Arabidopsis thaliana: one gene and its partners. The protein of the gene in region 1 interacts with the protein of each later gene in a pairwise test. Each region holds a gene or a part of one and is shown in the gene's direction. Other genes may lie near its edges. The genes, in order: ERG28, AT3G10260 and AT2G22180.

Region 1 (11,117 bases):
TAGGGTTTTTCAGAGAGAGACGGAGGAAGAGAAAGAGAAGGAAATGTGAACAAAAAGGGTTTAGGAAGAGTTCGACATTAATGGCAGGAACCGTTCAAGAGACGATGACTTAGGGGAATTAGGCAAAGGAAAAGGAGGTGACGACGATAAAACGCAGCGTTTTAATGGCGCCGTATTCACGACCTAACCATTGGAGGAAGCAGTCGTCTTCTTGGTCTTTCTGTGTATGTCTCTGGTTTTTAAGTGGAGACAAACAAGCAAGCACAATTTACATTTTTCCCATTTTTGCATTCCCTCCTTTCGTTTGCTGTATTTTCCTAAATTGTCCAATTCGCCTTTATTATACCACAACTTTAATATTGGTACCAAACCTTTTTAATTTTGTTCTTTAATCCCCTTTTTCATTAATATAGACGGTTAAGCTACATCCACCGATGAAAAAATCATTTGAATAATTTTTAATTACATTCTATAACTATAAGTCATGTTGTAAAGAGTTTGTTATTAGAGCATGAATATTCCATTATTCTCTCATAAAAAAAGAATTAAATGAGAAAATTTGTCCCTAATTCTTTTTTATTTCAAGTAGCCCCCTAAATTGTGGCTAAACATCCGGTAATCGTAACAATGATGTAGATTGGGTAACTCTCTGCTCGAATGTGACGCTTATTTTGGCAAATAATGTTTCTTTGGTAAACATTTGAAAGTTTTTAAACAATTTGTTTTGAGTATTTAAAATACGTACGGATAAAGGGTAAATCCGAAATTTAGAGTTAGTTGAGGGCTGGTAGAGAAAATTAAAAGACATTGGAGCACAGCTGGGAACAGGCTGGCGAAGAAGTGCCAGGTCGGAGAGAGGTTGACGTAATTTTCTTTTGTTTGGTTTCTCTCTCTACCTGATAAGTGACCAACCACACAAAAACATAGGGCTCCACTTCTTTGAAGTTTACGAAATTACCCTTGATGCTTACGTGTACATTCGAGGCTCTGATTAGTGCCTTGATCGGGGAGAATCTTTCCGCCTCTATGCGGAACTCACGTTTTCGTGTCAGTCTCATAGTTTTCTGGTTTTTCCTTAACACACATTTTATTCAGATTAAGAGATTTCTTTTTTCTTCTGTTAAATTTATTTTATTTTTAGTTCCGTTTCATAATTGGCGTAGCTAGTTTCCAATGTATTTGCTAACAGTGATGAAAGATGAACACTACGAAACATTTAAATTTTCTTCATGTGCATGAGTTTTGGAATGATAAACTTCCTAACATTATTTACACCATAGTGAAGTGTTCTTGGTTATTTTCCACAAAGTATTCTTGAATTGTCTTTGGTTATTAATAGCCATCGGTCTAACTTTTCTACATTCACCTAGAAACAAAAGTTTGATCAAATAAGGAAACAAACACTTTTTAGAGCCACAAAACTTTTCTACATTTGTGTACAGTATGAAATTAGTAAGGTGTTTTAAAGTTTCGAGGAACCGTCATTTAAAAATGACATCAAATAGTCACCTTTTCTTCTACTGCAAAGGTAAACTCACCACTCTATTCGCTCTGAGAATGCAGCTTCTGTATTATATAGAATACAAAATTTCTAAATTAAGAAATTAAATAATGCGTGCGAGTCAATAAAATAAAAATAAAGTAGAATTCTTTGGGGATTGGGCGAGAGATATGCGTGCACGTTTACGACAACTTAGATTCAATTTCTTTTTTATATAGTAGTAGTATTTGTTTAGATAAGTAGCTGAACGAGGATCGTGGATGATAGCTGTATTTTTTCTGCTTTTTTTGTTTTTTAATGACATTCATTTATAGAGGATGAAGGAAATGTCTTCTTCTTGCCTCAGCAACACAAAATTACGTAAACCATATTTTTGTTTTTACAGTAGTAACTGTAGAGAAGTCCATCAGAATATTACAGAAGCCCAATTGAAAAGCCCATTTGAAACCCACTGAATTAAATAATAATCGAATTCGGCGGAGACTCCAACTATTGTCGGCCCATCAAACAGTTTCTCCGGTGGTTTGAGAACTAACTGAAATGTACGAAATTAACCTCCGTGGCTTACGTGTTCTGATCGGGGAATCTTTCCGCCGAATCTGAGTTTACGTTTTTTTTTGGTGTCAGTCTCATAGTTTTCTGGTTTTAAAACGGAAAATATATGCGTTAGGGTATTGTTGGATAACGAGGAAGGAGTAAACGAAGGAAGAAGAGGGAGATGAAGGCGTTGGGGTATTGGTTAATGGTGGTTGGTTCACTGAGACTAGCTTCTGTTTGGTTTGGTTTCTTCAACATTTGGGCTCTTCGTCTCGCTGTCTTCTCTCAGACCACCAGTTCAGTTCTCCCTTTTTAATCTCTATTTTAAATTGTTCTTGATTTGATAGTGTGTTAGCTCCAACGATTTAAATGGGTGATGTTCACATAGAAACTATAGATAACTTCAGATTTTCTTCTATCAATTGACTTCCTTGGTCTCTGAGCTAGTATCTGTGAGTTAGTATCTATGGAGGGCACGTGAATTGGTTGTTTCAATGAGAAATGATAATGTCAGGTTCAGAGGAACCATTCTTGTGGAAATTTAACAATTTGTGTCTGTGATTTGAGTCTTCCAATAAGGATCGAATTTGGGATCCCTAAGCTTTGAGATCTAGAAAGATAGTGAGGAATTAGAATATTGTTTTGTTTTCCTGGATTTGATCTTGATTCTTGCTAGTAGTAGTAGTACATTGCATATGGAAAGTCAATGGTTTATGAATCTTGTAGTCAACTTTGAGGTTTTAAGAAGGAAAGCCGGATTAGGATTCGTTGAACATATTCATGATGCTCTTTCTACTTGCTCTTATGTGTTCTTTTAATTGTCAAGTTGAGGTAGTTGGGATTGAAAGCAACACTCATGAATTAGTACACCATAAGTATAGCAAACTGAAGCAACGTATCCAAGAAAGATATAGGCAAATCTTGTATGTTGTACAGTTCCTTGGTGAAGTAACTTTTTTAATAAGTGGACGGCCATGTCCTAGATATCAGGAAAGGGAAGAGTATTTGGATCGAGAATTGGGTGGGAATGATAAGAGTTTACATACTCCAATGCATAACCTTTTTTTGTGGGATCTTTGTAAAGTTTTTTCTTAAAGTACTGTTGAAGTAAATTAGTGATCAGGTGAAGTGAATAAGATTTTGTATATGTATTAAAACATAAGCAACTTGAAGTTTCTTTTTTCCTTTCTGTAACTTGTGGTGCATGGAACATTGTTTTTTTTCTTCCTGTGATTGCAAAAGGTCTTGTACATGTTTTGTTCATCAGTTCTGATAACACAAGGACTAATAACTTTGCATCATCTAAGCTACATGAGAACCGGGAACACAAAAGATTTATCTAGACAAAACTAGTTCACATAGTTGATGTCTCTATTACTTAGGTTATCTCAGGCAATGGGGCCTTCTCGGTTCACAAGAGTCCTGTACTCATTACTTGAATCTTTTTATTACCTGTTTTGCAGTGAGTGAAGTTCATGGACGTACATTCGGAGTATGGACACTCTTGACCTGCACTCTCTGCTTTCTTTGTGCATTCAACCTCGAAAACAAACCATTATACTTGGCTACGTTTCTATCATTTATCTATGCGTTAGGCCATTTTCTGACTGAATACCTCTTTTACCAAACAATGACCATCGCGAATCTCTCAACTGTGGGCTTCTTTGCAGGTATAATTTGAGGCATTGACCATCACTCACTCTTGTATTGAATCAGTTGATGTAGGTTGCATTCATATTGTGAATGATCTATATAATGTGTTCTCTATAACAGGTACATCGATTGTGTGGATGCTCTTGGAGTGGAATTCCCTTGAACAACCACACTCCAAACTTTCTTGATGTTAGTCCACATCTATGTTTCTAAGTCTCTCGTCTTATAAGCTTTTCTAAAAGTGGGAATCATCTGAGTTTTTGCTCGATCCCTAAAGCTGTTGATTCATTGTTTCATCTAAATCTTACGACATCTTTGATGGAGTCTTGAACTATGAGAATATCATAAATTCATGGATTATATGGTTTCTTTTTAAGTGTTGTTTATTGCTTTTAAAACAGAGATTTGAGTTTAGTGTATGGTTGATAGTCAACGAACAGGGAAACTATTTCTTGCGTTCCCTTTTTTATTTGTTTGTATCCAAAATGATTCTATTTTCCATTTTCCCGGTAACTGAGAACAGCTAACAAAACAGATAAACCTACTAATAGTGTATAGTAACATTACTAGATGACAGAATTGTGATAATATGACTAATGTATTTCCCCTAGTGAATTTAACTTGTGAAGGAGCTTGCCATCTTCCGTTATCTCACAAGTCACACCTATGGCTCAAAATTGTCAATCATGTGTTGTATAACATCTGCTCCAGCTGAATTGATCATCTTTGTTTTCACCTGTAATGTTTTCCAAATGTGAGTATGAAGTTTAATAACAGTAGCAATGGTGATGATGATGGCGACAATGATGAACACTTGCCTGAATGGTATTGTGAGCGAGAAATCTTTGCAGCGTTCCTCTGAAACTAACATCAACTCGTTCCCAGCTCAGTTTTGTTAATTCTCTTATCATCTCCTCTGCATAAGTTTGTTGTATTATGATGACTAGAAATCAAGAATAAGAAACACGAGAATGAGTTTTCCACTGAACCAACCTTCCATATCTAAGTTCTTGAACCTGTCTGCTTTGGTCCTTGAATGATCTTCCTCATAGTTACTTGCAGTATCCGGTGCTTCAACATTCACAATGTGAGGATACTTCTCATTGACTGGACCACGTTGAAGCTGCGAAGGTTATATCATTATATGTGAGACTTGATTCAGCATAACATACACAGCATTATCTTATTAAACACTGAAAGTGAAAGGTTTAACCTTAGGAAGCTCATTGTGACGCCGGATAGACGATGTACTCCACCCAACAAGGTCTAAGAACAAAGGAGGTCAAGGTTTCAAATGAATTGTAATAGCCACAACAGTTCTGAGTCTTTTTTTTAAGCTCAATTCACATTGTCCGATCAGTGAAGAAGTAGAGAATTAGTTTAAAGACGTCCAACAAAGAAAGGATACGGTCGAAACTTGTATTCGCGTAAGCAATACGCCGTTTGAAGCATTGCAAAGCAGAACTGTTCACAAAAGCAGAGGAGACATTAGAAATCATTTGAACTACGCAAAAGCCTCAATCAGCTATATATAGAAAAATCATTGAAGGAACTCACATGAATTTAAGATCTCTAGAATCTTTAACCATCCGGAGGAGTAATGGAGGCTTTCCACCATCACTATCAGCCAGAAAAAGATGTTTTCCCGTTTTACCAAGACAACCCGACATACGCGTAGCTAATCTCTCCAAAGTGTAAGATCCAGAAAACAATGGGACCTAATGCAGTCAAAATGCCACACCATTAACCAAATTGTAACTTTTCATGTTGCAAAATTCCACAAACTGTATCAACTATCAAGCTTACAGGAGAATGAGGCATAAAAGGATCTCAACTTTGCTGTAAACATATTGACAGCTTCAATGTAAGAAAACCGTTTTCAAATCACCTGTTTATGTCCTCTTGAACCAAGGTGTGGTGTTGCAGAAGTTATAAAATACACAGGCTCTAATCCAGCGATTCTTGCTTTCGGTTCCTCTATCGAGCATTTATCACCAATGTCGTCACTATTATGTGGAAGCTCTTCTCGGGATTCTTGCTCATAAAGACGCCCAATAGCATACCTAGCAATCAGGCCACCTAAAGAATGTCCTACAAAGGAAATCTTCTGAAGACTTGGGTGACGTTTGATCACCGACCTAACCTAAACAAAAGAGATTAAGAATATCACTTGAGCTGGAAAACTCAAGCAGAGACAAAGATAGAAACTTCTACATAAAAGGTTCTAGCATTGCGAAAACATCTAGCCAAGCGGAAGACAATATAACATTAGATAGAAACAACGCTGAAATATAAGCAGCCTAAAGATAAGAAACACAAACCTCTTCAGCTAATCTTTCTCCCATAACATCAACACCATCAAATGTCTGTGTGGAATGGTTGCGTTTACTGCCTGCAAAATGATTATAAAGTATCACAAGCCATTATTTAAAAACTATTATAAAAATCCAGTAAAGTGAGATCAAAATATCTAAAGTGTGATTCTTTCTTCCTTCCAATAATCAATCTGTTTCACTTGAGACTTCCAATCACAAATTTACTATAGACCATTAGGAGGAAACTCTGTTTTAATTGAAAAAATATAGAGAAAGAAGAACTCACAGTGAACGAGGAGATCCTGAGGATACTTCTTAAGCATCTGCTTAGCGGCGAATCTCCAATTCTGAGCACTGTACCCACACACAAAATTTAAAATCAGCTTAAAATAGAACAAAATCAAGCACATAACATAGGAAACACTAAGAACCTGCCGATGAGACCGTTGACCATGACGACTAGGTGAGTCGGCTCAGTGCGTTCGCCAGGGAAATCAACAGTCAAATCGACGTTTCCACTTTCGTCTGATTCAGCTCTGAGACAACCCATCCAATACTTTTTCTTCTTCTTCTTCGTCTCTTTATCATCACTCTTCCTGCTTCTCATCTTCTTCATCTTCTTTGGCTTACGGATTCCTTCAAGATCACTTCCAACACGCCCATCTCCTTCTGTATTCTTAGGAATCACGCTATCTTCTTCCTCCATGATCACGAAACGAAGAATGAAAAATGGAAACTTTATGCAGGTGTTAATTCAAGGTCGCCACTTTGGGAAGATTCGAAGGTCTCGCGTAGGTTTTTATAGACTTCAAACATCAAAAGTTCAAATGGTCAGAGAGAAACAGAGAATAGTTTCAGTCGTTAGGGAAAGTCCCCACAGAAGTATTTGTTGTCGTCGTTGAAACGCCATTGACATTTTCTTTCTTACACATCTGAGATTTGGACACTGTTGCTTTTTCTAGAACACAACACATGTTATATAAAGTCATTAACTTGATTAAATGAGCCAAAAATGTGATTTGGCATAAGTTAAAAAGCATATTCAGACATGATGATGATAATTAAGATTATTTTTATATAATAACTTTAAAAGACAGGCCCGGCCCATTTAATGTCAAAGATTGGATCCAAGTTTTGCCCAGAGAAAAGGAAGCTTCATGAATCATGAGTTTGTTTCTTCTTCTGGAAGAGTCAAACAACAATTTTGACTTTTTTATCAGCAACCACAACGTCGAAAGCACGACATGAATCATTAAAAAAAAAAAAAAAAACCGACGAGATTTTTGTACCTTTCTTCTCCGAAGTGTTGCTGATTGATGTCTGTTGGATTTCTCTTTCTTCAACTAATCACCTTTCTGTGTCCTCTCGCTTCTCTCTTCTCTTCTTTCCCATTCAAAGGTGAGATTTTTAATTTGACTTTTTTTTTTTGGGTTGACCCATTTCGAATTTTTATCATCTACTGGTTAATGTTGTTGATTTGATTATATCCGAATTTAGTACAGGCTAAGCTCATGGCGGATCTTAACATTGTAATGAACGGTGACTTCTTTGCTGGGATTGAACCTTGGTATCCCAACGGATGTGAAGCTTTTGTAGTTTCCTCTGACCCATTTAGCTCAGAGGTAATGTCTGCTGATTCCTCGAGCGGTGGTTATGTCGTTGTAACTAATAGGAAAGAAACTTGGCAAGGACTTGAACAAGATATTACAACCAGGGTTGCTTCTGGAATGAACTATACTGTATCAACTTGTGTTGGTGTGTCTGGTCCTTTCAATGAATCAGCTGAGGTTCTTTCTACTGTGAGGCTTGAGCATGAAGACTCTCCTACCGAGTATTTGTGTATCGGAAAGTATGTTTTTTTTTATGGTTATATCTTTGAAATTTGATTGAGCTTTTGTAGAGATTTCTGATGAAGTGGAACTTATCTGCAGAACATATGCCTCGAGAGACAAGTGGGTTGATCTGGAAGGAACGTTTTCGATATCAAATATGCCTGATCGTGTTGTTCTCTATCTGGAAGGTCCCGCTCCAGGGAAAGATCTCCTTATACGCTCTGTTACCGTTAGATCCTCCACTTCTAGTGACTTCCAGGTGAACCTCATGTCTTTCTTGACCAGCCATAGTCATATGTTACTTAACTATTTGGGGATCATAGTTTTGCATTTGAATATGAATAAGTAAAGAATATGGGTATAGAGAAAGGTGATTATTAGAGAAGATAAAAGATATGTTATTGGAGACTGAGATAGATGTAACTATCATGTGTCCAAGTTTAACATTATTGTTAATTCTGGTTGTCTGATCATGAAATTATATTTCAGTTGTTTGAAATAGAGAGAAGTAAAGCTATATGAAAGAAGTTCAGCTACATGAAAGAAGTCTAGCTTGTTTCGTTGCACGTTAGTTGAGGCACTATATAGCTCACCGGGTTCATCTAATTCTTTACAGTATAATCCAGATTACAAGAAACCAGCAAGCTAATTACTTGTATTCTAACATCGTTTTGTGGCTTACTATTTCACTGCAGGAAACCGAAAAAAACACTGACGCTTCCAATGTCTTCCCTCTTGCTTTGAATATCATTAAGAACCATGACTTCTCTGATGGGTTGTATTCTTGGAATACCAACGGTTGTGATTCATTTGTTGTTAGTAGCAACGACTGTAATTTGGAATCAAATGCGGTTGTTAATAACCGAAGTGAAACCTGGCAAGGACTGGAGCAAGATATCACAGACAACGTTTCTCCTGGTTTTTCATATAAAGTCTCTGCTAGTGTTAGTGTATCAGGACCTGTTTTAGGGTCGGCGCAGGTCTTGGCCACTTTGAAGTTAGAGCACAAAAGCTCAGCAACGGAATTTCAACTAATTGGAAAGTAATGGAACCACATGACTTCTTTGTGATATATAGTCAAGAAGACCCAGAAATGTTGACATTGATAATGTTTTTATCTGCAGAACTTATGCTTCGAAAGATATTTGGAAAACTCTGGAAGGCACTTTTGAAGTGTCAGGAAGACCTGACCGTGTTGTATTCTTCTTGGAAGGGCCACCTCCTGGAATTGACCTTCTTGTAAAGTCCGTCACCATCCATTGCGAAAGCGATAATCAGTTTGAGGTAACTGTGATTAGATAGATAGACTGAAAGTACATTGACATGATCAATCTATGATCTAAATCTTAGCTTTGATTTAATGTTCTGCCTTATATGCAGAGAAGCCGAGAATTCTGTTCAGCTCCTGAATCTGATAATCACATCTTCCTGAATTCAAGCTTTTCCGATGGCCTCAATCATTGGTCTGGAAGAGGATGCAATCTTATGTTACATGAGTCTCTAGCTGATGGGAAGATACTACCGGATTCTGGAACCTGTTTTGCTTCTGCATCAGAGCGCACACATAAGTGGAGCGGAATCGAGCAGGATATAACAGAAAGAGTCCAGCGAAAACTCATTTATGAAGCATCTTCTGTTGTTCGACTATCACATAGCCATCACACCGTGCAGGCCACTTTGTATGTTCAATACCTTGACCAACGCGAAGAGTATATAGGCATTTCCAGGTTAGGCTCTCCATATGACGATTTTTTCTTTTTCTTCCCACATGTTACTGTAAATGTGAATCTTGGCCCAAATATATTGTCTGATACAAAGAATTTGAAGAAAGTTTGTTCCCTTTTCCAAGTGTTCAGGGAACACACGACGATTGGGTAGAGTTAAAAGGAAAGTTCCTCTTGAATGGATCTCCAGCTAGAGCAGTTGTTTACATTGAAGGACCACCACCAGGGATTGATGTTTTTGTCGACCATTTTGCTGTAAAGCCTGCAGAGAAAGAGACTCCTTCAGGACGACCATATATTGAGGTTACATTAAAAGTTTTGTGGTTTTTAACATTTACCTTCTCTTTGTGTTTAATGTATTATATGTTGTTTCCATTTTTCTACAGAGTCATGCTTTTGGGATGAACATTGTTTCGAATAGCCACCTAAGTGATGGAACAATCGAAGGTTGGTTCCCTCTTGGAGACTGCCATTTAAAAGTTGGAGACGGCTCTCCTAGGATATTACCTCCCCTGGCGAGAGACTCACTTAGAAAAACACAAGGATATCTATCTGGAAGATATGTGCTTGCGACAAATCGAAGTGGAACATGGATGGGTCCTGCTCAGACGATAACTGATAAAGTGAAGCTGTTTGTAACATACCAGGTCTCCGCTTGGGTTAAAATTGGCTCAGGAGGACGTACCAGTCCACAGGACGTAAATATAGCACTCAGTGTTGATGGTAATTGGGTTAATGGAGGAAAAGTTGAGGTTGATGATGGTGACTGGCATGAAGTTGTGGGTTCATTTAGAATTGAGAAGGAAGCGAAAGAAGTTATGCTTCATGTCCAGGGCCCGTCTCCTGGTGTTGATCTTATGGTTGCAGGTCTCCAGATCTTCGCTGTTGATCGTAAGGCACGGTTGAGTTATCTCAGAGGACAAGCTGATGTGGTAACCTACGAAACATATTACTCATTACATGTTTGGAACGAAAATTAAACTTCACATCAAATGCTCTTTCTCTGTTATGCAGGTTCGTAAACGCAATGTTTGCCTCAAGTTCTCAGGTTTAGATCCTAGCGAATTGTCTGGTGCAACGGTGAAGATCAGACAGACACGTAACAGTTTCCCACTCGGGTCATGCATCAGTCGGAGCAATATAGATAATGAAGACTTTGTCGATTTCTTTCTTAACAATTTCGATTGGGCAGTGTTTGGTTATGAGCTGAAATGGTACTGGACAGAGCCAGAGCAAGGAAACTTCAATTACCGGGACGCAAACGAGATGATCGAATTCTGTGAGAGATACAACATAAAAACCCGAGGCCATTGCATATTCTGGGAGGTAGAGTCCGCTATTCAACCGTGGGTCCAACAGCTGACAGGTTCCAAGCTGGAAGCAGCAGTTGAGAACCGCGTAACAGATCTTCTTACCCGTTACAATGGGAAATTTAGACACTATGATGTGAACAATGAGATGCTCCACGGATCGTTCTATCGAGATCGACTAGACTCTGATGCAAGAGCAAACATGTTCAAGACTGCACACGAGTTAGACCCATTAGCAACTCTGT
Region 2 (11,117 bases), on another chromosome or scaffold:
ATAAGGTGAGGCATGTACTGTGGGTCCCTTGTTATAGTTGTATAAAATCTCAATATTTGCCAATCGGTGATGCTAGACTTAAAATAGTGGCAATTAAATTGGAATGGGTTTTGTGAAACAAAATGCAATGGGGATGGTACTAATACTTTTCCTTCTCAGCTTACTTGATGGTAAGATGTGTTGTCTGTTCATTATTCTTTAGGGCTCTATTTAGCATGAGCATGGAACCTTTGTAAACTTAATCTCTATTATGTTAGCTCTTATGCATTTAGGTCTCTGGTGTTATAGGTCATCCTTATTACTTTTCCCTTCCGAAAATATGAATTTACAATTCGTTTTGTTCAGAAACCGCTTCATGATGTGCTGGGTTTCCGGAAAGAGATAAATGGCTCCACCGTTGACGTTTCACTTCAGTGGTATTTTACTCTTCCTTCTACATACGTCGTCTAATATCTGCTCATGTGATGAACAGATTATAATCTGGGTTGCATTTAGCGTAAAACCACATACTTGAACATTTTGGCTGACTGATTTTATGGTTTACTTTATCTAAACTGGATGGAAATATGTTGTACCGTATGCGGAGTTGATGACTGTATATACAGTTCTTCTAGACGAATATGTGTATATCATGGTAGCTATCCAAAATTTATATGGATCTAAGTATATAATCTCGTTATTGTACCAGGTGCTCAGATGCCTATTCAGACACGATGCTGGGATACGCGAATAGTATTCGGACCATAGATGGTGGGACACATATAGAAGGTGTGAAGGCTTCATTAACAAGAACTCTAAATTCCCTTGCAAAAAAGTTAAAGGTTATCAAGGTGGGATACAACTTACCAACTGCGTTTTTTCCACTTTATATTTCCACTCTTAGAGGCTTAGAGCCTTTTTCCCCTTCTCTTTTCCTCCTTTTTCATGGAAACTGCAAATGCCTAATTGCGGTTAGTTGGTCATTATTGTGGTTGAAAGAGTCTTCTGAGATAATGTAGGTCAAGGGTTATATTATCTATTCCTCTCCATGGATTGAGACTAAATTTAAATACTCATCTGCACTTAAAAGACATGCTTTACGGACAATTAATAATGTACTACCATGATTGAACTGTGAAACATGCCAGTTATAGAGGTTGTTTTTTGCTTACATTTAAGCATTTATCTTGACCTGTTCTGAAAAGGTTGCTAACTCATAGTGTAACTTATTGTTGTTGGTTATGTTTTCAGGAAAAGGATATTAGCTTAAGTGGGGAACATGTTAGGGAAGGATTGACCTGCATTGTCTCAGTCAAGGTTCCGAACCCTGAGTTTGAAGGTCAAACAAAGGTACTAGGGAGCATAATGATATGTTGACCCTCATTTTTGTCAACAATCTCTGGTCAGCAGGCCATAAGTTTTCTTGGATTCTGTTGATCATTTTAATTTTTTTGTGTCCCAAAGACAAGACTAGGAAATCCAGAGGTGAGAAAAATTGTTGACCAATCAGTCCAGGAGTACCTCACGGAGTACTTGGAATTGCATCCGGATGTACTTGAAAGCATTATTTCCAAATCCTTGAATGCGTACAAGGTGCGACATTGAAATACCTGCTCATACTGTCACATCTTCACCTACACACACATGCACTCAAACACTCAAACATGTGTTTTATCCCTTGAGAAGCATTTTCTGATATCTGTGATTAGCGTATTCTTTGATTGAGTATGTGTCTCCTACAGTATGTCTAGTTACTAACTTCAACCAAATGACCATGGATTTTCCTTGCTGACTCTTTCTTTTTAGGCTGCTCTGGCTGCCAAGAGGGCTAGGGAGTTGGTAAGATCAAAAAGCGTTTTGAAGTCATCCTCACTTCCTGGGAAACTTGCAGATTGCTCATCTACAGATCCTGCAGAATCTGGTATGCATTAACCAATATGAAAGTGCCTTGTAAGCTGTGAAAGTTAGTCAGTTTATTGACATCTATCTCCTATGCTACCAGAGATTTTCATTGTCGAAGGAGATTCGGCTGGTGGCAGCGCGAAACAGGGTCGTGACAGGCGTTTCCAGGTAAAAAAAATCATTCTGCTCAGCGTGTCACTAACAGGCTCTGCTTCTATTTTGTTAGTCTGTAACACTGTATTTCGATCTATGCAGGCAATTCTTCCTTTGAGAGGCAAAATTTTGAATATTGAGAGAAAGGATGAAGCAGCAATGTATAAGAACGAAGAAATTCAAAATCTTATTCTTGGCCTTGGTCTTGGAGTTAAGGTAATATATCCTTTTTCATATCCTGCTGTTTGTTGGTATGTTCGGAAAACTCAGTTTGACATAAAACTTATTTCAGGGAGAAGATTTTAACAAGGAGAATCTGCGTTACCATAAAATTATCATCTTAACAGATGCAGATGTTGATGGTGCACATATCCGGACACTTCTGTTGACCTTTTTCTTCAGATATCAGGTACTAGTTTAGTTTGATAAAACATTAGTTGAAGTAGCCTTGATTGCTGATTGAGTTATGTGAAATTTAATGAAATTTACTTTCTACAGAGAGCCTTGTTTGACGCGGGTTGCATATACGTTGGTGTTCCACCTCTTTTCAAGGTAAGCTCTTAGTATCTATAATCTTATGCTTCAGATTGAACGGAATTTTTTTCTAAAGCTAGTCTCTCTGTGAAAACGATCAGGTTGAGAGGGGGAAACAGGCGCACTACTGCTACGATGATGCAGCTCTTAAAAAAATCACTGCTTCGTTCCCTGGAAACGCATCCTACAACATTCAGAGGTTCAAAGGTAAAACATCCTACTTCTCACATCATGAATGTGTTCTTTTGGAAAGGATAAATAACTATGAAAAGTAATGTATAGTAGTTGTTATGTGTTAGCTATTAAGATACTCTTGAGTGTGTGCATAACGAAATCTAGATTAGTCTCAACTATTGGATTCTATGTAATGTTTCTTGCTTTTGCATCTGCAGGTTTGGGTGAGATGATGCCTGCGCAGCTATGGGAAACAACGATGAATCCAGATACAAGGATATTGAAGCAACTAGTTGTTGACGACGCAGCAGAAACGAATATGGTCTTCTCATCTCTGATGGGTGCTCGGGTAAGCCAATGAATTGCCAGACTCGGACTCATGATAATAGTCAATAAACTGGCATAACTCATCGTGACAATGTTATGTTCTGTGTATGTTTCAGGTCGATGTCAGGAAGGAACTCATCAAAAGTGCTGCGACTAGGATGAATCTGGAGAATCTCGACATATAACACAGCTTATAGTTATTGCTTCAGCTATATACAAACAACAAAGAAACGACTCTGGTGAAATGCAAAGGGAGACATCATCATTTCAAGGTTAAATCATATAGTCACAGGCCAACAGGATTTTGTTCTTCTTCTGGCCTATAAAGGACAAAATTCATTGTTAGGATTATCTCTTTCAATGTCAAAATTTAGCAATTCACAAGGCTCTTTGTTGGGCGTTTCTTTCCATTGGAACTAGAATTTTTCTAGAGACAAGAGAAATTTGCATTCACTAGGTATTTACTATATATTATGACTTCAACAATTTGGCATTCCTGAAAATCATGCATGCGACGAAGTTAAAACTAATGATTAGAAGGAAGATGAGAAGGTAACTATTGTGCAATGAATATCTTCTCTGCCTGTTGTATTGATTTTAATTGTATTCGAGGTTAAGTTTTGACTGATGTTTTACTAGCGATCGCAGAGTGATCGATAATTAACAAGTTTATTTTTCGATTTGGTAGGTATATAGTGAATTAAACATGATTTTTGTTCTTCCTGAACAACCTAAAGCAGTGTTATGAACGCATCACGCATGTAACAACCAGTCAACCATATTAGTGTGACTTTAATTCATTGAATAAATGAAATTTTTTTATTTTCAACAAGGCTTGTAACGGTTGATAAATCTACTCAGAAAACTTCTTTTTGTTTGTCTTGCAAATACAAACGATACGTTTCAACTCTTTTTTTGGCGTCCAATAATACTTCTTAAAAAATAATTTGTTTATTGTCATGAGCTACACGTGGGAAGACAAGTCCTATCCATTATTACTACACACTACTCCAACATTTGCCCACATTTTGAAAAAAACATTTTTTTGTAATTCAATTATTCGACACAACCAATCCCATCTCTTGTTTCACTTCCGCCCTCCATCTTTCTTCGTGATTGAGAGAATCTTCAACGAAAGAAAGCAACTTTTTTTGGGTGAAATTCACAGAACAACCAAGGTTTTTCTTCTTCTTCTTCTTCTCCAGTTCCTACAGGTTTACTCTTACTCATCTTCATCTTTGTCTCGTTCTTGCTCTTCAATTTCTGGTCTTTTTGTTGTTCTTGTCTTCTCGCCAAATATACTAAGATCTAAGTTTTATATCATTGTAATTATCACCAACGAACTGTTAAGACCAAATTTGATTACTCGAAATGGTTTTGGGTTTAGGGTATGAAGAACTGATCAAAAGATTCAATTTTTTATGAAGTCAACTTTCATCTGCAAATTGAGCAATCTCAGATTTCGATTGTGTTTCAGAATCATGCCTGACAAGAACATCGTAGAGGACGTTATCGGTGATTTGGTGGATAACTTCACGGAGACTGTTCAGAAGAACAAACATGGTTCCTCCTTCTTCGAACAAGAAGATTCCGTCAGTTCTCGTTTCAACCGTTTGTTTGATCGCCAGAAGCCAATTCATCATGTCTTAGGCGGTGGCAAATGTAAGAATTCGTATACAGGAACATAAATATGAGATTGGTTTTTCTTGTAATTGAGTATTGAGAGATTCCTTCAGCTGCTGATGTGTTGTTATGGAGGAACAAGAAGATCTCTGCAAGTGTTTTGATGGGAGCTACCGCAATTTGGGTGCTTTTTGAATGGATCAATTTCCATTTCCTGTCTCTCGTTTGCTATGCCCTCTTGCTTGGTATGATTGCACAATTCGTTTGGTCTAACGCCTCTGGATTCTTAAACCGGTAACTTGTTGGAGTGTTGTTGTCATTATTATTGGTACCTTGTGATTGCAATCTAACACAATGTCCTTTAATGTCTCAAAGCAGCTCACAGTCTAGAGTGCCTCGCCTAGTTCTTCCAAAGGATTTCTTTGCTGAAGTCGGTGTGGCCGTTGGAAAAGAAGTTAACCGCGGTTTGTTGTTTCTTCAGGACTTGGCTTGTAAAGGGAATTTGAAACAGTTCCTCATGGTGCGTTGTTTGTTTCAATAACCACAATCTTGTTTGTATAATGTATTAGCACTTTCATTACTATGCTAAGATAGAAACTTTGATCACAATATCATTTTTCAGGCTGTAATCGGACTATGGGTAGCTGCAATGGTCGGGAGCTGTTGCAATTTCCTAACTGTTTTGTATATCGGTGAGTGGTTCTTATTAGTGTATCCTCTTTTGAGATTGGAAGTTGAGTAATACAAGACTTTAAAGGGATGCATTTTATGTGTGTGTGTGAAGGGTTTGTTGGGGCACACACAATGCCGGTTCTGTATGAGAGATACGAAGACGAAGTGGATGGTTTTATGGATTCTATGATCATGAAGTTTCATAGTCATTACAAGAAGCTTGATACTGGGTTTCTCAGTAGAATCCCAAGTGGAAAGTTTGGATTAAAGAAGCGTGAGTGACTAAATCACTCAAGCATTTTCTTATTTTACCTTGTTTGTTGTTAGAACAATATGGATTATGGTTTGCTAAATGAATGTTTTGAGAATATTATTCATTCATGTAGATTTTGTGTATTTCCTTACTAAACAATACCTTGTCCATGTATTTGTCAATACCTTGGTTAATAAGAGAATCATCATATCTGTCAAAATTATACAAGTAGATTGAGAGTTCATTAACTCAATGTCTAAAAATGTAAGACTTAAAACAAGTTTGAATCAAAATTATTTCACAAATCAAAAGTATGGTTTTCTTATTTCGTAAGAATCGTTGACTAATATTGACCGGCTGGCTAATAAGAAGATCAGATAACTCTACAGGTATGGGATCCACCATTGTCAAACATTTTACACGTGTCAGCTTCCTGAGCTTCGAAGCCTGAATGTTAAAATTAAAAAATTTAAAAGAAAGAAATATAAAAAGAAGTAAATCAAAGAAAATGGAGTAAAGAAATTGATCCACGATCGATCAACAAAGTGAGGTTAGGTTCCATCTCCACCTCTTTCTCTCTCGAATCTTCTCCGATTAAAGGTGCTCTTTTGCTTATGAAATTTGTGTTTCTTAAGCTAATCGAATTTGTTTTCTTGATCGTTTTGATGTTCTTTTTTTTTTTTGTTATTGTTGTTGATTTGATGTGATCCGGTTGTATTTGAAGACGAAATCGATTCGAAGTGTTGAGGTTTAGTTTGGGGTAAAATAGATGATTCTCAATCTGTTCTTATTTGTGAATTATTTTGTATTTCTGATTCTCTGTTTTTTTCTGTTTTTTTTTGTTTTTTTTTGGATTTGAAACCTAGAGAAAGAACCTTGTTTCATTAGTGGGAGATAAAAACCTCTAATGATTTGATATAAATTTTTGAACTTGTACAGATTCGAATCGATTTCCCTTGTACCCTCTCTTAATACTGGTTCTTGCCTGACAGGAACAAGGTCTGGTTTACAAAAGTCTCATAGATGTCGAGTGGAACAGTGAGAAGGGTTTCACGTCAAGATATACAACTGGTAATAACAACAAAAATAGATCATGATGAAGGAAGGCCTTTGGTTTCATTGTCTGAATCTGCGACAATTTGAATTCGTCCTCTTCCAACTCAATAAAACTTACTTTTGGTTTCAGGTTCAAAACCTTATAGAACGATGCCTTCAACTTTACATGAATCAGAAAGAAGTTGTGGATACTTTACTAGAGCAGGCTAAAATCGAGCCTGGGTTCACAGAACTAGGTAGCCACTCAAATACTCTGTTTTCTTTTCATAGAAATTAGCATCTGATTCTGTAATCCTTGTTCATTGATGAATCTGGATTCATTACTGTGAATGAAAAGGTATTAATATATCTATTACCAGTTCAGGACATCTGTAGCCAAAATCATGTGTGAATGATTTTGTTGTTGCTTAAAACTGAAATCTTATGTATTGTTTGGTTCAAGTGTCACCAAGAAGGTCTTATTGGTCAGAACCTAGTTAGGAAGTGCTCAATAGATCATGAAATATGAGAGAATATGTATAGTAGTGAGTATCGATGATAAAAAATGGGGATTTATGATAACACGCTTTCTTTTTATGTTTAAAAGTTTGGCAGAAGCTTGAAGAAGAGAATCGGGAGTTTTTCAAAGCTTACTATCTTAGGCTAATGGTTAAACACCAGATAATGGAATTCAACAAGTTGCTTGAGCAGCAGGTTCACCACATGCGTCAGATGCATCCAACTGGTGTTGCTTCTGTCCAAAACACAAATGGTTCTCATCTTCAATCAAGTAAGATTCGTTTGGAGTGAGATGGATTTTAATTTCTGCATTTTAGGGTCTCTTTATTGCTTGTATACTTTTGCTATGAATTGTTGTTCAAGTGTTGTAGTAAACAGTCCTCATATGCATTGTCTTGTTTTCTGGCTTCCACTTTTGCTGCCTTAGTTCTTTTCAAGGTTTCTTTTTCCTGTGAACATTATGTGTTTGTTGTTTTCCTTAGATTAGTCATTCATTCAAGTCGCTAACTGATGAGTATTAAATAGCTAATCTATGTGATTTTCTTAACAGTGAATCAGAAACAATTATGCTATCCCTCTGAGCACACTGACCAATCTTTGAAGTCTGAAAGTGCACATCATCCAATGGCTTCTAGTCTGTCTAATGCATTCCTCAATGGCTCTTCCACACTCAATACAAACGTGCCCTCTTCTATAAACATATCAACCCATGCTAGGAGAGTTGATGCTTCTCCAAATATGCTCTCATCGCAGACCACAAACATGCCTATGATGCAAGGAATGAATGGAGGAATGATCAAGTCTGAGACTGCCTTTACAAACCCTGCTTCATTCATGTATGGTGGCGAACGGAATGCCCTCGAAGGACATTCGGCAGTTGGGGATACTTCGATTCCTAATTTCAGTAACGAGTCCAACAACCAACCCCTCAGTGATCCGCTTCTTGAAGCAGAAGCTTCTACTTTTGGGTTCTTAGGTCAAATTCCTCGTAACTTTAGCCTCTCTGATTTGACTGCTGATTTTTCTCAGAGCTCAGGTCTTTCTCCATCTCAATATCTCATATACTCCTTTCTCTCTCGTTGTTCTGACGTCTTAGCATGCGTATAACACCAAGTAGTTATTAGTGGTTTTCTAGTACAAGAGCCAGTAAACAGCTAATAGGATAAATTATTTGTCGTAACCATAAGTTTCCTGGTTGATTTCAGAGATTCTGGAGAGCTACGATAGATCACCCTTCCTTGTGCCGAATGCTGAAAACTTCCTGGACTCCCGTGACAGAGGAGAATATCAAGGTGAGAGAGCTCTAGGAATCTTTCTTACTTTCTGTAATATATCGCAAGTAATCGGGTTTCAAATTCTTCAAGACACAATAGACTAGCTCGCTGGTTTAGAGAAAGTAGAAGTATTGAGGCAACAGACAGAAGTGATAATGGTAAGTGTGTGTTTTTGCAGGAGACAACAAGAGATTGGATACCATATCTGAAGGTTTCAGTTACGATAACATCGGGAGCGAGTAGTTGGGTATTAGGTAAGAATATATATACTCATCTGCCTCAAATCTCAGGTTGCACTTTTTTTTTGAATTTGCATTTCCAACATCATCATTTTTTGGTTTCTGGAAACTATGCAGGTTTTGCTTTATCACTAATAACATAGGACACGTTTGTGTACAAAAGATTCAGCATTTGATGGTTTTCCTTTGCAAAGACTACTTGGTGGGGTGTATAAAAAGGGCTTTCTATTAACATTGTTACTTAAGCTTGAAGTTAGTAATAAGTTTAAGAAGAAGATCATGTAATTTTCAGTGTGTGATTTTGTCTCTTTTCTCTTGTGTTTTAGTTATCTTTTTTACTTGTTACAATTGTTACTCTTTTTTTTTCCGGATATAAGTGGTTTGGATAGTGCCGAAGGCTAAGGATAGAGTCAAAGTAAGGAATCGAAAAGAAACCAGAAACTTGCATATAAAGCAAGTGTCATTCTAAAGAACACAAGAACAAAAAAAACAAAACGAAGAAATTTCTTAAGTAAAAGAGATCTGACTCTCAACGTGATTCGGGAAAACATGGAGCGTGTAACCATGTTCATTACTGAGCACAAACTCGTCGTCAGTGAACCCTTTAAGCTCGAACCTTCTAGAAGTGTTTCTCACCGGATCATAAAAGAAAATCTTAGCCGATTTATGAAACATGGATTCTACATAAATAATCTCACCAGCATGAGTGAAACCTTTTAGTAGGAACTTATTAGTACTCAAACTCTTATCTATGTGAACAAGAGGTGCAAGAAAGTCTTTACTCGACCACTTGTTGTGTTTCTCCAAAATCCACAATCTAATACCATTCTTCTCTATTATTTCTCTACCAACGCAAGCTAACCTCCCATTATAATCTATCAGCACATCCTTGTGAACATCCGATGATGGTAACTCGATCATATCGAATATTTCAGATCTGACATCAAAGCTCATTAGAACCCACACACACATATCCTTGACATAGGCTATATGATATACAACACCGTTGATGCATCTCCCAGAATCATAATAGTCAGAACGATGCTTATTATGAGTTTTGACCGTTCTCCATAATTTTTGAGCTGATCCTAAGGTTAATACTCGACACGTATCATAAGTTGCTGAAAACTCCATGCACATTACTTTGTGTTTACCTTCCACTGGATCGTATCCTAAAAAGATTGTTAGATCATTCGAGTTCCCATTGGGTTTTGGTAAAATTAACAACTGTCGCGTACTAGGGTTCCAAACAATCAGCCTAGCTGATTCTTGAAAGCAGATCAAGCCATTGACAGATTCCGTAGGGGGGAAGTAATTCATTTCTTCTGAGAATTCCATATGATAACGATCAATAAGCTGAGAATAAGAGTGAGACTTGTTCCAAGTCTCAAACGTCTGACGATGTTGCGGAATCGAGGAAACAAAAAACTTTTCATTTGCTTTGAAGCAGAGTAAAAGCCGTGGAGACCTAGTTGTTAACAAGTTGATGAAATATGGCTCGGTGGTGATTGATGACCAAGGCTTGGACACGCAACGAAACCTCGCAACAGATTTCTCAGGCAGTCTTAGGAGTATCTCTGAGACTAGATCTAGAGGAATGGACGACGAACCTGATTTGGATCGTTTACTTTTTCTTTGGTAGGCTTTTATCTTCCTCTTCTCTTCTTGTTGCTCCATCTTTGGCCAAAACCCTAGTTTTTTCAGGCTTTTCGACCTCTTCATATTATTCTAACTCATTTTTAAGATATGTAAATAATACGAATACACACGTTGGAGATTTTATGTGATTATCTATAGACTATAGTTTCCACTTTCCAGAAGATAGTTTCCATTTTGTTTCAAAATAAAAACGGAAAGTATATAGAAGATTTCTTGGGATTATAGAAACTTCGCAATATAACGATTTTATATTGGATTCACAATGTAGCGATAAACCAAATCATTCATAGATTTTTATTTATTTGCTTTGTTAAATAAATAAAATATAACATTTAAAACATAACTTATTAATCATTAAAATTATAATTTACCAAATAATTTTTTACTTTACTTCTCATAACTTATAAGCATATTTTTTTTACAAATTTGAGAAGTAGAAAAAAAAAAAAAAAGTTTTACTAATGATCCATTGATTTCGAAATCTGGATAATGAATCAGAAATTTAACAACCATGTATTAATGCGTAAGCTAGTATTAGTGGTTATGAGTGACTAATGACCAATGTCACAAAAACCAAAAGATAATAATAATAATGGATTTGTGCACATATTGGGAAGAGAGACCCCACTAAAGGACTCATACCACAAACACATTCATAGACTCAATTCTCTCTTTCTCTCTCTTTCTGGGAAGAAGATAATTGTCTCCATCTCCATGAAGCTACTGCTTCTGGGTAAGTTTTGTGGTCTTCGTTCATCTTTTCTCTAGCAATTT
Region 3 (11,117 bases), on another chromosome or scaffold:
CTCAACAAATAGACTGACGATGAATTGCCCTTTACAAAACCATCTCCATTTGGATATACCTTCAATACCCTATATCATTAACATTACTTATTAACACATTGACGTAAAGATACCGTAGTGTTTGTGTATATATCTATATGTTATGGAGAGAAGAGAGAGATTCACCAGCTACTTCCTCCAGAAGAAAAAAGGGCGGATGTGTAAGAGTCACTATAGAGAGTTGAAAATCTGTTGAGTTTCCATGTGTAAATGGGATCTTTGATGTTTTCTTCAAAGGAGAAAACTTCCCATTCATTCAAGGTTTGAGCAACGAAGATGTCAATTCCAAACACACACTGTTCTCCATCGAAAATGTATCCGGTTGTCAGCGTTGAGAACACCGATGTGGGTTGAAATTACGGCACTCCGTATTCAGGTTTGAATAAATGAAACCTCCTTGCCTCAGTTTGTACAACAACATTCATTTATAATAGATGTTCAGTTAAGTACTGGACCCAAAAGATAGTTACCATGCATGATACTTTATTTTTTCTGATTGATCAGAACGTTTGGTTAATAGTAAATGTGACATAGCATATCATTATTGTCCAAACATAGCAATAAACTGGAAATGAAGATCTTTTTTTTTTTGACAGCCTCGAAATGAAAATCTGCTAGCACTGAAACAACACTTTTCTAACCGGGTGGGGGGCAATAGGTTACATTACATACCTTGGTAGGTATAGTATTTGTCGTAGATTCTGTTGTAGACGAAGAACTTGACCTCTGCGTACACATCCTTTGGATTGGAGATGAGAGTTGAGTTATCGATTCTTGCGTAAAGCGAAACGTATCCAGTAGCGCCATCTTGTTTGTTTGCCTGGCTGCTCTATTCCGACCATTTATATGTGAATTTTTGTTATTTTTTGCCTAAGTGATTGAATAAAGCAACAATTATATATATATATATATATATATAAAAGATTTTCTTTGATGAAGATCATGGTTTGCTTTCCTTAATTAGCCAGCAGGTTTGATCCACGTTTGCCGACTAATTTTCTTCTTCCGTGACTGACATCTAACATCTATGGTGGATCCTCCTTGTTTAGTTGTAATTCGAGATGGGTTTTGTTTGTATAGATCCAACACGTCGTCAATATAGAAAATTACACCTGAAGAAACATTAAACTTAAATATCAAAGAGTATTTTTTTGTAACATAACAACTAGTTTTAAGTTCTCATTACGTATATAACTAAAAGATGTGCATGGAACAAATAAGATTTAAATGTAAATTTTTTTGCAGTCTAAACTTAAATTTAACAATTCTTATGTTGATCATCTTCAAATTAAAATGTTTTTCTTGTTTTGAAGTTCTGAAAAATTGATTAATTATTAACATTTTATGAAAAATAGTTGATGAGGTGATATTGTATATCTAGGATTATATATAAATAAATCTAGTCATCATTAGTAATTCTCTAATTTATTTGGCACAAAATTTACAAAAACGTTCAGGTGGCACTCTCTAGTTGGCGAAATGCTTAATTACTTTGGTAATATATATATGATACGTAAATGTATTTTGTAGTGAGTGTATTATATGTCCACGTACACAAAATTAAGTGACATTGTTGAAAAGGCTATCTTTTATAAAGGAAATGATCATGAATTTGAATGGCATATATACCAAGATATATGGAACTCTATTATCATATCTGCTAGGTGAAATGAGCAAACGAAAATCTACCAATTTGAATAAACTCATATCTCTAGTCATTCTACCAAAACAAAGTATAAAAAGCTCCACCATCATTAACATATTACAAAAAAAAAACTAAACAATTTTTTGGGTTTTTTAATTTAATTATAGAAAAAATGGAATCTAAGACGATGAAGATTATAATTTTTCTTATGGTTTTTGTTTTTGCAATGACTTGGTCTCCTTCGAGTGCTCAACCAACGGATCCGGAGGGGTGTTTTAAGGCGTTTAAAAGCACATCAAGAGGATGTCTCGAAAGCATAAAAGGAATTTTACATGGACATGTCCATGGGATCAAGAAAGAATGTTGTGAAACCGTTAGTATAGTTTCTGATATGTGTTGGCCAATAATTTTCCCAAGCATGCCTTACATTCGTTTTGTATTAAAGGGTATTTGTACTATTAAATACTCTTTGCATTGAGGCATTTGAGGATTCGTTATGTTTAATAAGTGAGAATAAAAGACCATCTATGATAATAAAATATGAACAATTCTTACATTCACCTCTTCTCTAATAACCAATTAAAAGTTGACATGTCATCTATTTAAAATAACAAATAAAATAAATCATTAATAATTCAAAACTGAATTAATTGTAAAGCCCACTAAGTCTCTTCCTAAATCCAAACTAACGAAAATAAAACTAAACCCTAATTCTCACTTTATAAGGCATTAACTCTAACCTTATTTATAGTTTTTCTCTATTCTTCTTCCCACACATACAAAAAAGATTAGTTTTATCGGAGGAAGGATATCATTATCATTGTTTCCACACAATTTGAATATAAGTCAAAATACTTATTTATATGTGCATCAAAATTTCTTAGTTTTTTTTTTTATTTTGGTGATTTTGTTGTACTAAAGTTCAAATAATGGCATCTGTGGAAAGAAAATACTAAGGATAAATAAGGTAAATATTAATTTAATTAATTTATTTAAATTCTAAAAAGGAAAATACATTATTAATTAAGAAAATGACCAATCAAAATAAACATATAAGATTTTGATATCTAACTTAGCATATTAATTTATTATTAATCATATATTTTTCTTTTCATCTTTACATGATTCTATTTTTGTGAAACAAATAAATCTTCATATAAAGAAAAGCTAGATTTTTTTCTGCATATGTCATTATTTGAATTTTGAAAAACGAATCGAAATTGTTCAATCTATGATAGAAAACTTGTAATGGGTCAAAAATTCAGACTTGAGTAATATATTTGTTTTAAACAAAAATAAATTTAACAAAAACTCCGACTGAGTAACGAGTTATAATTTGAATATTTTATATACTGCAATAAACTTTTTAATAATTTACTTTAGAACATTTAAAGATAGTCTTACTTTACTTGATATTTTTAAATAATATCATTATTAAAACGTTTCTTAGGACTTCTTACTACACGTTGGTCCTTGATCTTTGACATTGGTGACGGCTCCTTTCTCTCTCCAATCCAAGGAATCTGGTGCTTGAGTCATATTCTCGTAGAAGAACGGTTTGGAGTCGAGTATTTTCTTGTGATCACTCATATCAAAACATGTGTGAGCGTTGACAAACTCGACGTCGGTCAAGTTTGCAAACTTGTTGAGCTTGAGCTTGTACGGTTTTCTCTCCTTGTTGGTTTTGACAATATATTCTGCATTTTTTTTAAATACATCGAAACTACTTTCTGTTTGGTGGATGGGCACAAGATAGTGGCCCATCCACCTCTTGTACAACTTTTCCAGACCCTCATCACTTTTTAGCTTTGTCTCATTGTATTTGTTCCATGAGCTTTTAGCTCTAGAATGAGAAGAGTAAACATAAGAATAATTAAGATATGCTTAGTCATTTTGTTTGATTTCTTCTTTTTGATTGTTTTTAGTGCGAGAGTTAAGTAGACAAACGAACACATTCATATATACTTGGTGGATCAAACTTTTTTCTTAATTGCACTGAATGTGTGCATGTGATCGTTAACACAAAAATAGACAATTATATAGTTAATGCTTTAACCTTAAATTAGTTTTTGTCTCAACGAAATTATTAGCCTATCATCTTTTTACGTACCAGTTAAGTCCAAAGAGGTATGAGAAATGAGATGAACATGCGATCATTAACTGTTTCGATGTATTTGAAGATTTTTATGATGAAACAATGTTTTCTCGTCTTTGAAAGCAATATCTTCAAAGTCTTACGCGGCAATTCAAATAAGTCTGTTATTACTTTGTTGCATCGAATCATGTGATCGTTAGTTTAAAGGATTATCACTAGGTTCACTACTTTATCATTTTCTTCATTGTAGTTTATATGACATTTAATTTTCTGTCAATTAATATGATTGAATAAAACCATTTTAATCTGTTTCTTCTAATTTTTATGAGAATCATAAATTCTTTCTTTTTAGACAGTTACTATTATTAAGAAAGAAAAAAACATGTTCTAGGGGGATGGAGATTAGACATAAATATTTTGACCTTAACGAAGTCTTTGTAAATAAATATTATACAATCAGTAATTATCTTTTAAAGGCATATTGTCTATTTATTTTATGTCTAGCTTGTATATTGCTTTGTGGTTCTATAGATTATGTGTGCAGGGATGATCTTTTTCAATTTTCATTGAGGAACTTATTGCTCACACCTTCTTTTATAGATTTAAAAGACGATTAGGAGCATAGTGAGATTTATATGGTGCCTTAGGAGGAATTTTAAAGTCATTCATTTGATAATGGTTTTCAGTTATTAGTATGACCCAAAGAAATGTTCCGTTTCAACCAAATGTCACTTAATTAGGAGGTTTAGGCCAATACCAATTAATGTCGTTGATGTTTCTTACAAAATTGTAAGTTTCTTGTTGACTTTTTGAACATGCACAAAAATGATTAAAATTGTGAAGATCCACTCTGTATTAAATGTTTAAAATTACATCGAAAAATGTGAAAAGGGCCCATCTTTTATACTATTTGGCAAAGTTTTGATTAATCATAAGGTTGTAGCTTTGAACGTTTATTTGTGAAAATAAAACGAAACAAAGAAACTATATCAACCAGTAATTATCTTTTTTTCTTTTTAATATGATCAGTAATTATCTTTTAATTTCATCACACGAAAAACTTAATAATGTTTGATAAAAATCTCACAAACAACAAAGAACGGAACTTTTATTCGATCGAATCATTTTCATTATTGCCATCACACGTTCACAAGACAACAAAGAACAACTCTCCAAGTTACACACACACATACACATTTGACATTTCATTCACTACTCTCACACGATCCAAGAGAGAGTCTTCCGGATCTCAGACCCGACCCGACCGACACTTTCCCTAAGCGAAACTGGACAGTTATTCCGAACAGCACTGAGCTCATACGGCGATGTATCGGACGCAAGCCATTGCTCAACATCAAAGCTTTGGTACGAGCACTTTGCATGAACTCCGGCTGTCGTGACTTCCACGTAGTTAACATACCAACCGTGGTGGTCACCGGAGCCGTCAGAGGTCAGATTTAATGAACAGACTGGGCTCGGAAGACATGGTGCTTTCCCACTGAAAATGTCGAGATTACCCCTCTCGTAGTAGTTGTAACCTGGTCCCATTAAACCACCCCATGCTTCTAGGTTTCGGATCCCGATGTAGTCTCCGTATTTGTCGTAGACTCTAGCGCTTATGATCGAATCTGTACCGGCTTTGAAGGTTGATCCGGTTCTAAGGAAGAATGTGTAGACACAATCTGCTTCATCGTCCTGTGAAATCAAGAAAGTCATTTTTTTAAATGGGAAGAAACAGAAGTTTGTAGTCTAATAGTTTAAACTAATGTCATTGATGTTGTGTCATTATATACATATTCAAATCTGGTTAATGTGTGTGTCTAGTTCTAGACAAAATCATATATGAGAGGAAGCAAGTCAGATTTGGAAAACTTACGGCTAATGCGACAGCGGAGACGGTGGCGATGACGAGGAGGAGTGAGAGGAAGAGGACGTCACGGCGAGGCATCATCGGTGATATGGATGTATAAGAAAGAGAGATCTAGTCTATGGAAATATTAATAGAAATGTTGAAAATGCTAAAGTATATGAGAGTTTAGATTTCAATGATTTAATTATCGTCTGTTTTGGGAGTTGCGTATGAAGATGACGTGGTCGTTTTTGGTCCGTTGGAATGAGTAAGAAATAAGAATAAAAATACTTAAGGATCCTATAAGCACGTCGTTAACTCGGCGGACAGGTCGGCATGGGTTGTCAGATTTCGAAAAAAATTGCATATTTTTTTTTGTCACAAACGCAAATCTTCGTGAGATACAATACAAATGCACTTCATTTTTCGCCAATTAGAATGTAATGTAACAGTTTCCAGTGTAATGCTCGCAACATAACATGTTTCACGTGGATTGGGGCCGGGGAAGAATTAGAGAAACATTAATTTTTGTTTTTGCTTTTTGAAAGAAAACTTTCGACCATATGAAGGTAAGATTTCCTTTAATTTCCTTGATATTTTCATGTACATATGTTTGATTTATAAATGAAAATTAAGTGATTGTGTGTTTTTCAAAGAAAGAAAAATGAAATAAATTTTGGATAGTATTGTCAGCGAAGCAGCAACAAGGCCCACAAACATAATTTTGAATGGCCGGTTGCTGCGGATTAATGTGTGTAAATACATACATTCCGTTCATGTCAATCCCAACGTATATTCGTATATATGCATTTTTCGCTTTCTAAAGAAACAGAAGTTGCAAGAGAATTGAAATAAAAAACACTTTAATGAAAATTTGGTCCAGAAATACCACCCAAAAATGGTTTTAGTTCGAAACGTACAAAATAAAATAAGACTCGTTCATGATAAACATTACCAATATGTGCTAACCTTTTTAAGATTTTACTCATGTATGTCTTATATGCATATATAATTTATGTTAGAAAATCGATATCTTGTAAACAAAAAGTAACAACTTCGTTGATCATCATCAAATGCCATAATACTATATTATATGAGTTCTGTAATATAGTTTTCTAAATAACAGAAAAAGGGAAATTTAAGGTGAGCTGGCTAACTCTAAATAGCAAAATCTTCTCAAAACCAACCAAAAGTTTGAGTCATGCAACAACAACCACTTACTTTTCCCATGCAAACCCTAATTTTCGCATCCTCTCTTAATTCTCTCTCTTTCGTCTTCTCTGTAGACCAATCTCCACCACACATCTCGTAACTCCCACCTTTCTCCGATGGAGGGGCCACGGCGTCCTCCTTCCGCCACCGCCCCTGACTCTGACGATGACAAACCCGATGATCCTCCGTCCGTTTGGCACCGTCCAACCTCTAGCCTCCCCGCATTGCCATCTTTAGATCCTCCATCGCACGGTTCACACCATTGGCGTAATCATTCTCTTAATCTGTCTCCACTCCCAACGACATCTTCTCCGCCTCTTCCTCCTCCGGATTCAATCCCTGAGTTAGAGACGTACGTTGTCCAAGTCCCGAGAGATCAAGTCTATTGGACCCCTCCTCCGGAACATGCAAAATACGTCGAGAAACGCAGCAAGAACCCGGAGAAAAACAAAAAGAAAGGGTGTTCTAAACGTCTTTTGTGGTTCTTCATTATCTTGGTCATTTTCGGATTCTTACTCGGTGCAATCATTCTCATCCTCCATTTCGCTTTCAACCCCACTCTTCCTGTTTTCGCGGTCGAGAGATTGACCGTAAATCCTAGTAATTTTGAGGTCACATTAAGAGCCGAGAATCCAACGTCTAACATGGGAGTACGCTACATGATGGAAAAGAACGGGGTCGTTTCCTTAACGTACAAGAATAAGAGCCTGGGGAGCGGGAAATTTCCGGGGTTGTCCCAGGCCGCATCTGGATCCGACAAGGTCAATGTGAAGCTTAATGGGTCGACCAAGAACGCAGTTGTACAACCTCGTGGATCGAAGCAACCGGTTGTTCTGATGCTGAATATGGAGCTGAAGGCTGAGTATGAAGCAGGGCCGGTCAAACGGAACAAGGAAGTGGTGGTGACTTGTGATGTTAAGGTTAAGGGACTATTAGATGCGAAGAAGGTTGAGATTGTGTCGGAGAATTGTGAGAGTGAGTTCAAGAACTGACACTCGCTCTATATATATTTTATATATAACATGATTGTGTCGTTAGAGTTAACAATGTGCTTAATTAATTCATACTTTCTATGTAATGTTCAATTGTTCATTTTTTTTCCCTAATGTCTTTGTTTTTACTCTATATTGTTGAGCGACAAAAGAAAACGTGAACAAGAAGAACACAATAGAGTGAGCGTCTTTTTTTTTTTTTAAATGTACCTTTGCTTTTACAAATAAATTTAGTTTAGCCCAGATTACAAATAAACAGACTAGTCAGAACTTCTTAAAAACAGAAGATATAATTGGGCCTAAATGCAAAAGTAACATTTCACCTCCTAAGATTTTTCCTAGACCAAGTGTGTACAAGCAATACTCCGAAAACTTGATGGGATCATTCCCTCTTTTTTTTTTCTTTTTTTTTTTATCATTCTCTTTTTGATAAGATCATTCTCATTTCTCAGTGTTGTTAGTTTTATTATAGAAATGTAACTTACATTTTGGGAATAAGTGCCGTCTGTACATTTCTATTAGTTTAACTTTCTCTTTTTCTGTTGGAATGTAAAATTTAGCTTCAACAAAGATATTTATATTTTAATTAATAGAGAATTTCAAAAGTTTGAAAGAAAAGATAGACTTTTAAAAGAATGAAGATTGAAAAGAAACAAATAGACTTTTAGAAGAATGGAAGTTGAAAAGAAACAATCTTGATCAGTACTTCTTCCTTCGAGCCAACATCTAATGAGGTCGTGAAGACAAGTCATATTAAAATATAGGTGCGAGGAGACCCGATCTGTTATTTTGTCGATCACTAGAGCTGACGGTTTACTGTTTCGTACGGTAAAAATTGAATATAGTCATTACACTATCGCTCACAACAAACATAAGAGATAGAAGCTGAGAATTTTGATAGTGCCATTGACGAGGTGGGGTTGCATATGCATCCAATCAGGAGTGAGATGCGAGCTTAGTAGAGGACCACCAACTTAAGGCCACGTTTTGAAGGAGAAAGGACTCATAAAAATATATGATCTTTGGCTTCGTCGAATTCGCCATAGTCCATAGAGGTACTTGTCTGCGAATGCAACTACCCGTTTAGAGGCGAATGTGTTAATAAACGGAAATGCTTTGCGAGAATCTGGCCTCACCATCTTATTGTTCAATAAGTGGAATGTATTAATAAGAAAATACAAATTATGAAAGTTTATACAAAAATATTTTTATATTTCACCGCAGATTTCAAAATGCAATGTTCTTTTTTTTTTGTGCGCTAGTTATTTTAAATATACTTGATTATTTTAAAAAATCGAATATACATAAAGAATCATTTATTCTATACCCCTACCATCTACCAAGAAAAGGTTGAGTGGTCATTTTCGCGAAACCACAGTGGAGAAACAATAATTGTGTATAAAGATATTCCACTAGAAAGTGAAACAAATAGGTCCAATTATTTATTAAGGGCACCTTTGGACCATTTTCACAGTCCTAATTATGACAACAATATTGTTATCTTCTAGCAAGAATATAAAAAGACAAATTTTATAGTTTATTATAAAATGAATTCTTCATTTCGGGTAAAGGTTGGATATATAAAATTGTATAGAAACCAGTAATAATAGTTAGGATATCAAAGAACTATTTGATGTATGATGTTTTGCAAGACACTATATTCATTTATTCTATTTTTTTTTGTGAGCGTACCAAACAAATCAAATTAAATACTATTTTATGTATGATGTTTTGCAAGAGACTATATCATTCTAAACTAACTAGCTAATATTGAATTTCACACATTTTGGGATGAGCGCAGTATCCAACTCTATTTAATGCTTTAAAATTTAAACATTTGCAATCTTGATGTAAAATACAAACATTCTTTTATCATATAATTCCACATGGTCGGTTGGTTGGAACGCACGCCTAGGCCTCACTCTTATTTGTGTTTCTCTCTTTTCCTTCACACCACTACATTCGAAAGTTCCGATACAAAAGAAAATTTCCTTTTTTGTTACTTTAAATTTTGGTGTCTAAAAAAGTTGACTATCCAATCAAAAGACATTTAGAGTTTGCCAAAAGATTTTTGTTTTTAGTCCACCTTTTAGACATGTCACAGAAAATTATTATTCAAGTGAAGGGATTGGTGATCAATGTTTTTGCTCCCTATAATTTGGGCATCTAAGTCACATGCATCCCCATGTTACCAAGTAGTTTGGAACATCTCACAGATCAACATATACATTCATTTACTGAGTCAATACATTTAAAATTACATATAGTTTTAGGCTTTCTATGGCACTAGATAATTGAGTCAAATCAAGTTTTGTTAGAACCGTCTGATTTACTTGAATCTTCTCTCTCTATATATATAAACAAATATAGAAAAATAAAGAACGGAAGAGACATTAGACCATCCTTATTGCAAGTCTCTTACTATAAATCTTAGGTATAATATATAATCAAAATAATATGTGAATAGTTTAGAAAAAGTCCTTAGCTAAGAGATAAAAGAAGGTTTAAGAACTTCAAACCATTACAAAAACTCTTAGCTATAATTTTTTCAATAATACAATTCATAAAATAGTTAAGAGATAAAATTAAGAGTCTACCATTAAGGTTGCTCTTAGGTGATTGGTTTCTCATTGAATACATTAAGGATCCTTCCATTTGATGTTATTGACAAGTTCACCATGGCCAAGCAGAACAAAGAGAACAACAGCACTCAAGTTACATTGTTAATTATTGATGTCAGTGAATGGAGACGATGGTGATAGCAAGACCTACGAGGCATATGTGTACCAGCCGCCCTGGCGTGATACTCCCTTGGTTCTTAACTATTTTGAATTTGCCAATTAGTCAATGTTGGCTCTCCCAATTCCCTTAATCAATTGTACAAAAATACATTATTTCTCAATTCATTTTTAAGTGATTATTTATTTTTAAATATTTTAGCGGATATAGGATGATGAACACACACTTTATATTAATTAAGTAATATATATTTGGTTTTTCTAAATTAAAATCATAGTATATGCAGAAAAAGTTATTAAGTTTTTGTATGCAGTAACATCGCATTTTAAGGTATATTTTTAAATCTTTATTAAAATCTTTCAAAATTAATAAGAATCAAATCCACAAATTGTTTTCAATAAGAGTACATTTTAAAGTAGATTTTTAAATTATTAGTTCGATAACACTGAATTTCGTTTGATTTTTTAAAATCTATGATTGAATAACATATGATTTATAAATTTTTACATCTATATATACATTTTTGCAGCCATTTTGTGAAATAAA

The links.
Region 2: the proteins of ERG28 (region 1) and AT3G10260 interact in a two-hybrid assay, tested with the Arabidopsis thaliana proteins (one large-scale study listed by BioGRID).
Region 3: the proteins of ERG28 (region 1) and AT2G22180 interact in a protein complementation assay, tested with the Arabidopsis thaliana proteins (one large-scale study listed by BioGRID).

The regions. Positions count from the first base shown.
Region 1 is NC_003070.9:3,271,753-3,282,869, forward strand, and holds ERG28 (ergosterol biosynthesis protein), read left to right. Parts: upstream 1-2,000; 5' UTR 2,001-2,219; coding exon 2,220-2,334; intron 2,335-3,501; coding exon 3,502-3,708; intron 3,709-3,811; coding exon 3,812-3,879; 3' UTR 3,880-4,201; downstream 4,202-11,117. Other genes in the region: AT1G10040 (alpha/beta-Hydrolases superfamily protein), read right to left, coding at 4,356-4,427, 4,510-4,607, 4,685-4,814, 4,905-4,957, 5,100-5,155, 5,249-5,409, 5,580-5,834, 6,013-6,083 and 2 more; AT1G10050 (glycosyl hydrolase family 10 protein / carbohydrate-binding domain-containing protein), read left to right, coding at 7,323-7,404, 7,504-7,855, 7,938-8,097, 8,534-8,880, 8,963-9,122, 9,219-9,565, 9,688-9,865, 9,949-10,494 and 1 more.
Region 2 is NC_003074.8:3,165,942-3,177,058, reverse strand, and holds AT3G10260 (Reticulon family protein), read left to right. Parts: upstream 1-4,066; 5' UTR 4,067-4,490; coding exon 4,491-4,731; intron 4,732-4,805; coding exon 4,806-4,986; intron 4,987-5,070; coding exon 5,071-5,212; intron 5,213-5,314; coding exon 5,315-5,384; intron 5,385-5,476; coding exon 5,477-5,646; 3' UTR 5,647-5,837; downstream 5,838-11,117. Other genes in the region: GYRB1 (DNA gyrase subunit B), read left to right, coding at 1-5, 346-416, 689-830, 1,231-1,329, 1,444-1,572, 1,786-1,900, 1,982-2,049, 2,137-2,250 and 5 more; AT3G10250 (histidine-tRNA ligase), read left to right, coding at 6,641-6,688, 6,804-6,909, 7,260-7,442, 7,722-8,207, 8,377-8,463, 8,624-8,688; AT3G10240 (F-box and associated interaction domains-containing protein), read right to left, coding at 9,192-10,361.
Region 3 is NC_003071.7:9,422,013-9,433,129, forward strand, and holds AT2G22180 (hydroxyproline-rich glycoprotein family protein), read left to right. Parts: upstream 1-6,730; 5' UTR 6,731-6,956; coding exon 6,957-7,832; 3' UTR 7,833-8,129; downstream 8,130-11,117. Other genes in the region: AT2G22155 (ECA1 gametogenesis family protein), read left to right, coding at 1,857-2,162; AT2G22160 (Cysteine proteinases superfamily protein), read right to left, coding at 3,131-3,448; PLAT2 (Lipase/lipooxygenase, PLAT/LH2 family protein), read right to left, coding at 4,998-5,474, 5,656-5,730.